Macaca fascicularis: one gene and its partner. The main gene of each other region encodes a partner of the protein of the gene in region 2 in a complex. Links are inferred from orthologs where the notes say so. Each region holds a gene or a part of one and is shown on either strand. Other genes may lie near its edges.

The links. Proteins that work in one complex are often made in the same cells at the same time.
Region 1: MED13L (region 2) and MED19 share a complex: the UniProt entries of both Homo sapiens proteins name them as parts of the mediator complex. The link is inferred for Macaca fascicularis from reciprocal best matches to the Homo sapiens genes MED13L and MED19.

The regions. Positions count from the first base shown.
Region 1 is NC_088388.1:15,892,966-15,897,081, reverse strand, and holds the start of MED19 (mediator of RNA polymerase II transcription subunit 19), read right to left. Parts: upstream 2,868-4,116; 5' UTR 2,835-2,867; coding exon 2,618-2,834; intron 1-2,617. Other genes in the region: TMX2 (thioredoxin-related transmembrane protein 2), read left to right, coding at 3,271-3,459. UniProt on the Homo sapiens protein: Component of the Mediator complex, a coactivator involved in the regulated transcription of nearly all RNA polymerase II-dependent genes.
Region 2 is NC_088385.1:122,931,225-122,934,872, forward strand, and holds part of MED13L (mediator of RNA polymerase II transcription subunit 13-like), read right to left. Parts: intron 3,375-3,648; coding exon 2,951-3,374; intron 2,441-2,950; coding exon 2,221-2,440; intron 774-2,220; coding exon 585-773; intron 1-584. UniProt on the Homo sapiens protein: Component of the Mediator complex, a coactivator involved in the regulated transcription of nearly all RNA polymerase II-dependent genes.

The DNA of each region.
Region 1 (4,116 bases), on a different chromosome or scaffold from region 2:
ATAAAAAACTAGCTGGGTGTGGGGGCGCATGCCTGTAATCCCAGCTACTCGGGAGGCTGAGGCAGGAGAATCGCCTGAACCTGGGAGGCGGAGGTTTCAGTGAGCCGAGATTGCGCCATTGCACTCCAGCCTGCGCAACAAGAGCAAAACTCTGTCTCAGGAGAAAAAAAAAAAAAAAAAAAAGAGAGAGAAAGGCAGCATCTTGGAGACCAAACATGTCCAAAACAACTCGATTTCCACCTCTTCAAACTTGTTCCTTCCTCATCTTCCAAGTCTCATACCCATACACCCAATTATTCAAGCTGAAAACTTAAAAAGGCATCAATTCTTCTATCTCCTTCACTTCTATATACAATATGTATTTTTAACTGAGACAGCTTCTTCCTCTATCATCTAAGCTGGAGCACAGTGGCACAATCACAGCTCACTGCAGCCTCAACTTCCTGGGCTCAAGTGATTCTACCACCTCAGCTTCCTAAGTAGCTGAGACTACAGGTGTACGCTGCTATCCCTAGCTAATTTACTTTTATTTTTTGTAGAGATGGGGTCTCATTATATTGCCCAGGCTGGTCTCAAACTTTTGGGCTCAAGCAGTCCTCCCACCTCAGCCTCCCAAAGTGCTGGGATTACTGGCGTTAGCCACAGCACCTGGCCCTATATTCAGCTTTTCAACCCTGTCAGCTCTACGTCTAACACCCTGTATCCATTTACTTCTCTAAATAAGTACATTTGACCAAGTTCCTATGTTAAAATGGCTTTCCTTGGCTGGGCACAGTGGCTCAGGCCTATAATCCTAGCACTTTGGGTGGCCAAGGTGGGAGGACTGTCATTGGCCAGGAGTTCAAGACCAGCTTGGGCAACACAGTAAGACCCAGTCTTTACAAAAAATTTTTAAGTTAGCCAACTGTGGTGGCACATGCCTGCAGTCCTAGCTACTTGGGAGGCTGAGGTGGGAGGACAGCATGCGCCTAGGAATTGGAGGTTACAGTGAGCTATGACTGTACCACTGCAGTCCAGCCTGGGTGACACAGTGAGACCTTGTCTCTATAAAAAATTGTTTTAAATGGCTTCCTTTTGTATTTACAATCTAAATGCCTTTATTGCTTTATAAAAGCCTCTGCCTAACTCTCCCAGCTTCATCTCTCTCCTAACACTCTTTCCTTTTGTTCACTTCACTGGAGTCCAACTGATTTTCTGTCCCTCAGATATTCTAAGCTTTTTCTCACATCAGGGTTTCTGACCTCATTTCCTGTATCTAGAATTATCTCTCCCTCCTGTCCATAGCTGGCTGGCCCTTTGTCTATGCTTACATTTTAGTTCAAATTTTAGCTATGTGGAGAGAGCATCTCTGGCCACTCTAGCTAAAGTAGTTCTGCCCCTCAATTTTTTTTTTAAGAGACAGGGTCTCATCTGTTGCCCAGGCTGGAGTGCAGTGGCACAATCTTGGTTCACTGCAGCCTGGACCTCCTGTGTTCAAGCAATTCTCCTCCCTTAGTCTCCTGAGTAGCTGGGGCTACAGGCAAGCACTACCACGGCCGGCTAATCTTGTATGTTTTGTAGAGACTGGGTCTCGCCATGTTGCCCAGGCTGGTCTCAAACTCCTGGGCTCAAGGGATCCTCCTGCCTCAGCCTACCCAAGCGCTGGGATTACAGGCGTGAGCAATGCGCCTGGCCACCTTCAATTTTTTATAATGTTTTCTCTTCCTAGCATTAACCACTCTCTGACATTATCTTGTTTACAATGCCTCCTACACTGAAATGTACATTCCAAAAAAGGCAAGCATCTTGTCAGTCTCGTTCACAACTGTATCTCCAGCATTTAGAAAAGTGCTTGGTACATAGGTACTCAACAAAATAATTTTTTGAATGAAAAGAGTTTGGTTCGATTCTTACCCCTTCTTTGATGACACCAGGAAACGCAGAAATCTTGGAAGAGTGGCAACTTGCCCCAAACCCACAGCAAGTCTGTGGGAGACTTGTAACTAAAACTTTAGGTCCCCAAAGATATTAAATCAGGCCTCTCGAGTTCCAAACTCAAACTCTTGATTTTTTGTTTGTTTGTTTTTGTTTTGAGACGGAGTCTCATTCTATCGCCCAGGCTGGAGTGCAGTGGAGCAATCTCGGCTCAATGCAACCTCCGCCTCCCGGGTTCCGAGTAGCTGGAATTAAAGGCATACGCCACCACGCCCAAGTAATTTTTGTGTTTTTAGTACAGACAGAGTTGCATCATGTTGGCCAGGCTGGTCTCGAACTCCTGACCTGAGGTGATTCGCCCGCCTCCGTCTCCCAGAGTGTTGGGATTACAGGCGTGAGCCACTGCGCCCAGCCCTAGATAATTTTTTAGGGAGACATAAACCAGTGTCAGGAACACAGCCTGGACATGGTGCAAAAGACAGTCACGGAGATGCACCACCCCGCTCCCCGCCATTCATCCCTTTGGTTGAATTCAACTCATCCCTCTGCTTGTGAATCCTAATAGCCCTTTCGACTTAGGGCTCCACAGTCCGGGTATGCGTTGCCTAGGTTACCTCGCACCTCCGTTAGCCGGCTGAGAGCCACGCCCAACACCTCCTCTCTAAGATTTGATTGGCTGGCTTTGGCAAGGCCGAGTACTCACCTGGCAGTTCCCTCATGAGGTAAAAAGGGCCACAGCCAGCTCCTGACTTGTCCGCGCCGGGAGGGGCCGTGGCCGCGGTGGGAGGCGGAGCCGTGCCGGGTCCCCCGCCCGGAGGAGGCGGTGGCGGGGGTGGAGGCTTTCCTGGTCCGAAGCCTAGTGCGGTTGGGGGCGGTGGTGGGTCAGCCTGAGCCCCGAACAGCGCCGTGAAATTCTCCATCGTCCCCTCCGCCCCGGCGCTGTCTCGGTGTCTGGCGTTGGTAATTTTCATTGGACAATGCCTTTAAGGAATACCCACCTCTTTCTCAAGGAACCGCTTGTCATTGGATGCCTCAGGCACCGCCTACCTTGTTTCAACAACTACTTCCGTCGCTCTCTGAGAACGTTCAGGAAGTGCTATTTAACCTTATTAGAGTCTTCTGCTAGCTACGTTAGCTACAGTCCAATAAAATGACTTAAGCTGATAAAGCGACAGCTAGACCAACCAATAAGATATTAAGTTCTTTTTTGGGTTCTGACATACCACAGCGTTGACAGAACTACATCCGGGTTTAGAGGCCGTACGTTTGAGATGTAGCCCAATAGCAGTCGCTATGGTGGGGGAGGCGGGGCCGGACCTACGACGCCGGTGAGCAGTGGCCCTTGCGGCCGAAAAGATGGCGGTCTTGGCTCCTCTAATTGCTCTGGTGTATTCGGTGCCGCGACTTTCACGATGGCTTGCCCAACCTTACTACCTTCTGTCGGCCCTGCTCTCTGCTGCCTTCCTACTCGTGAGGAAACTGCCGCCACTCTGCGACGGTTTGCCCACCCAACGCGAAGACGGTAACCCGTGTGACTTTGACTGGGTGAGCGTCCCGCGTCTCAGTACCGCGACCTTGACTGTCCCTGCCCTTGCAGGTGCATCTGGGAACCCTGGGGTTTACCTTTCTGAGGACACCTGAGGTTCCGAGCCTGTAGCGGATTTAACAGACTGTAAAGTGCAGAGTCCGAAACATCGTCGAGACTAAACTTTGTGTTTAATATGGGAAAACGGAACCTGTTAGTCGTAGCCCTGTACAACGGCCCAACAGCTTCTGACTGTTGAGTCCAGGTTTCTTTCCATTTCACCATTTAGACTAAGAAACAGCCCTGTCAAAACTGTACATATACGTGTATAGCATCTTACAGTGCCGCTCATTATGTAAAGCCTCCTGAGGAGCCAGTAAGGTAGGGAAGGCAAGTAGTAGTAGTCCTGTTTCATTGGTGAAGGAATGGATCTTGGTATATTTAGGCGACTTGCCCCAGGTCATGCAACTAATGAGTGCCTGGGACTTGAAACTATTCTTGTGGCCACACTACCTGCACACACTGTCAGCCGTTTCTTAATTCAATCAACATTTCTAGAGTGTACACTCTAGGCACTCTGCTTGATCCTGAGGATGCGAAAGTGGATAAAATTTTGGGGCTACTGTAAAGGAATTGTAAAAAATAAGTTGTAAAGAAATCTTTGGGCTTTCTTTGAG
Region 2 (3,648 bases):
AAACATTAAGAACTAAAAGTGATACATATATTATTGCCTAAAGTCCTACATAAAAAAAAACAGTAAGAATTTGCTTGCCTCTTTTCTCAAAAATTCTTAAAAGTTCAGAGAAATATCTCCTCTATTTAAATCTAAGAGTTAAAGAAATCTGCCAACTCTTTTTCATTCCCCGCTTGAGACAGGGTCTTACTCTCCAGGCGGAAGTGGTTGTGTGATCACAGCTCACTGCCATCTCAAACGCCTGGGCTCAAGTGATCCTTCCGTCTCAGCCTCCCAAACAGCCAGGACTACTGGCACACATCATCACTGACACCTGGCTAATTTTTTTTAAAAAAATTTGTGGAGACGGGGTCTTGCTATGTTGCCCAGGGTGGTCTCAAACTCCTAGGCTTAAGTAATCCTCCCACCTCAGCCTCCCAAAGTGCTAAGACTACAGGCGTGAGCCACCACATCCAGCCTAGCAACTCTTATATCAAGGTAGAAGGCCAACTAAGCAACCAGCCAATCTCTAGGTTAGATAAAATACCTCTCCTAGCTTGCATTTTAGTATAAATTTTCTAAGTTCCTGTCCTGCCAATACCCACCTCAGGGTTCTTGAGGGTCATCTCAATGCTGGCTGCAGGCCCAAATCCCGTGAGGGATTTAATGTGGATCTGTGTAGGCAATGGTCGCCTGCACTGGCAGTACACTGAAAATGCCATGGACTTCAAGTATTGAATGTAGAAAACTTGCTCATCCTTCATTGTCTGCAGCATGTACTGGCAAGGCACAATCTAAAGACACAAATACAAAAAACAAAACAAAACCAAAAACCTAGAAACTGAGATCTAACACGCTAACAAGCAAGCTGAAAAAGGAAACGGCATGAATTCCTTACCACATGGGGAGAGGTAACCTCAGCCCTAAAATATATCAGTGTCACACATAATATAATTAAATCCTAATTCCTTCCACTGACATAAAATTCTCTATCACCAGCAATTTCGAAAGATGTACGATTATATGGGTCAAGTTATACTGTCACTTAGAAACTACCATGTTCCCATTTGAGAGGTAAGATCTCAATTTATTACAGGTATTACCATGGCCCCCAAATTGTATTATATTTCTCCTTTTTATAATTACACAGTGTGTGTGGCATTTTTTGGAATTATTACCTAATCATTTAGGATACAGACTTCAAAACAATGGAAAACTATCAGCAATGTACTCTGATAACTTTAATTTCAATCTTTTAATTTTACAAGATAGCTTCAGTTAAAGTGACATTAAAATGAAACCCAAACATCCGAAGCACTGTTTTTCATCTATATAGAATTTTTTAAAAAATCATCACACTATAAAGCTGTCAAAGGTGCAGTGAAAATAAGCATACTCATTCACTGATGAAAGGAAAGTAAGTGTAATCTCTTTTGGAATGGAATTTGGCAATATGTGTCAGCATCTACATCTAAGAATCCATGTTAAAAAATGACCTGAAATGTGAAAAATAAGATTATACATAAATGTGTACTATGGCTTTATTTATAACAGTAAAGAAGTGGAGATATAGGAATGGCTATGGAAAATATGCAGTCATTAAAAATGCTTGTAAGAATTTAAATAACATGAAAATGTATTCATGAATAACATTAGATAGAAACTAAGTTATATTAAAAGTATGATCTCAACTGTGTAAACAAAAATAGAAAAACAAGCTAGAAAAACACCAAAATGGTAATGGTGGTTGAATGTAAAAGTCAGAATTATGATTATTTTTTCTTTTATACTTTCGGGTACAGGTTGAATATCCCTAATCAAAAAATCTGAAATCCAAAATGCGCCAAAACTCACAATTTTTGGAATGTCAATAAAACGCCACAAGTGGAAAATTCCGTATCAGACCTCATGTGATGTGCTGCAGTCAAATTTAATCAAAACTTTGTATAAAGCACAAAATTATTAAAAAAATTGTATAAAATTACCTTCAGGTTAAGTGTATAAGGTGTATATAAAACACAAATTTTATGTTTAGACTTGGGTCCACTGCCAAGGTCTCCCATTACATATATGCAAACATTCCAAAATCAGAAATCCAAAACACTCTGGTCCCTAGTATTTTGGTTAGAGGATAATTAACCTGTACTTCTATTTTTTAAGAAAAACCATAAGCCTGTATTTATTTTCACAACAACAAAAACATCAACATCAAAAGTAAATAATAAACTTGCAAACAGTAACCTGGAGAATGAAAGAACTTCTCATATGCTCAGGTAAATTATCCAGCATTTCTGTGTAGCAGCGCATCAAGCTCAACAGCCAAAAGTTCCCAGAAGTGGAGTCCTCCTCCGCAGCATAAGTGAATGGGTCTACCATGTAAATGACAACGGCTGGAGGGTGGGCATGGCTGTCTGCAGAGTCAGGCTCCGTGGGAATTCCTATTCTCTCCCTTTCTGTAACACTGGCAAGAGAGTCACTTGTGAGACACACAAAATAAACATAAATTACATGAGTATGAAAAACAAAAGTGCTCAATTCTAGAGCACACAGGCTCCCTAAAGAATATTTACAGATTAAATGTAAGAGTAACATGTATCACCTTACCAAAATACAGGCAAACCAAGCCAGAGAGCATTGAAAGCAGACGGAAAATGGCAATGTACTCCTCTAAAATGGGAGATATCTTTTTCAAACTCCCCTTTCTTTTCTGTGGTTATGTTGTACAAAGTTGTTATTAATTAAGTTGATTGTAAGTTTAATAATAAGGTTTATAAGTCATAATAATTTATAAGAAGTCTCAAAATTTTAACACTGCAGCTTTAGATTGACCATTACCCCTTTCTTTTGAGAAGAAGAGAAATAGAGCACTTCATAGGATTCAGAGAATCATGAGGTCAAGGGAGAAAAGGTGCAGAAGAAGAGAGAAAGGGTCTGAGCTGAGGCCACTCGTCTCAATTAGTGAGTAACATACCTCTCTTGTCCATCCTGTGAGGGCTGAGAAGAGCTCTGCCCAGGGTCAGTGTCTCCGCCACAGCCTATGCTCCCTTGAGTTCTATCCGTAGAAATGCCCCCAGTGCTGGGGTTCTGCCCTCCAACACTACCACTGAATCCTGAAGAAGAGGTAGTGCTTATCTGGCTAATACCAGGAGCAGAGGCAGACGATGAGACCGGTGGCACAGAGGAACCAGATGCGGAACTACTTGCTGCAGGATTTGTAGTACTACTATTCGAGGTGGGGTTAAATGCACTGCCAGCTGGGGGAGCTGCTGATCCATTTGGAGCTAAGGGCCCAGCATTCCCAGGCGTAGCCTGTCCCTGTGCCGCTGCTGGTGGGGTCTGGTATTTAGGTGGTATCAACAGGCTGCTATCAAGCTGCAGAGTGGCTAAATAAGGTGCTGAAAGAATACATGCAAAGAGGTGACTTTAGTGATATTCTGCAGTGTCGACTAAACCAGAAATCTAGAATGGTCACTTGTAAAAAAATTATGCTTTCAAGCTGCAATACTCTGATTACAATACACAAAATACTATCTCCACACTCATGCTTATGTATTCTGCAAACATGGAAATGCACACGGAGCAACTTATAAATTCTACAGAAGAGGCCTGTTTGAAAAGAGAAAATCAATCACTTGTGATAGTCTCCTTTCAGACTGATTCCATATGCCT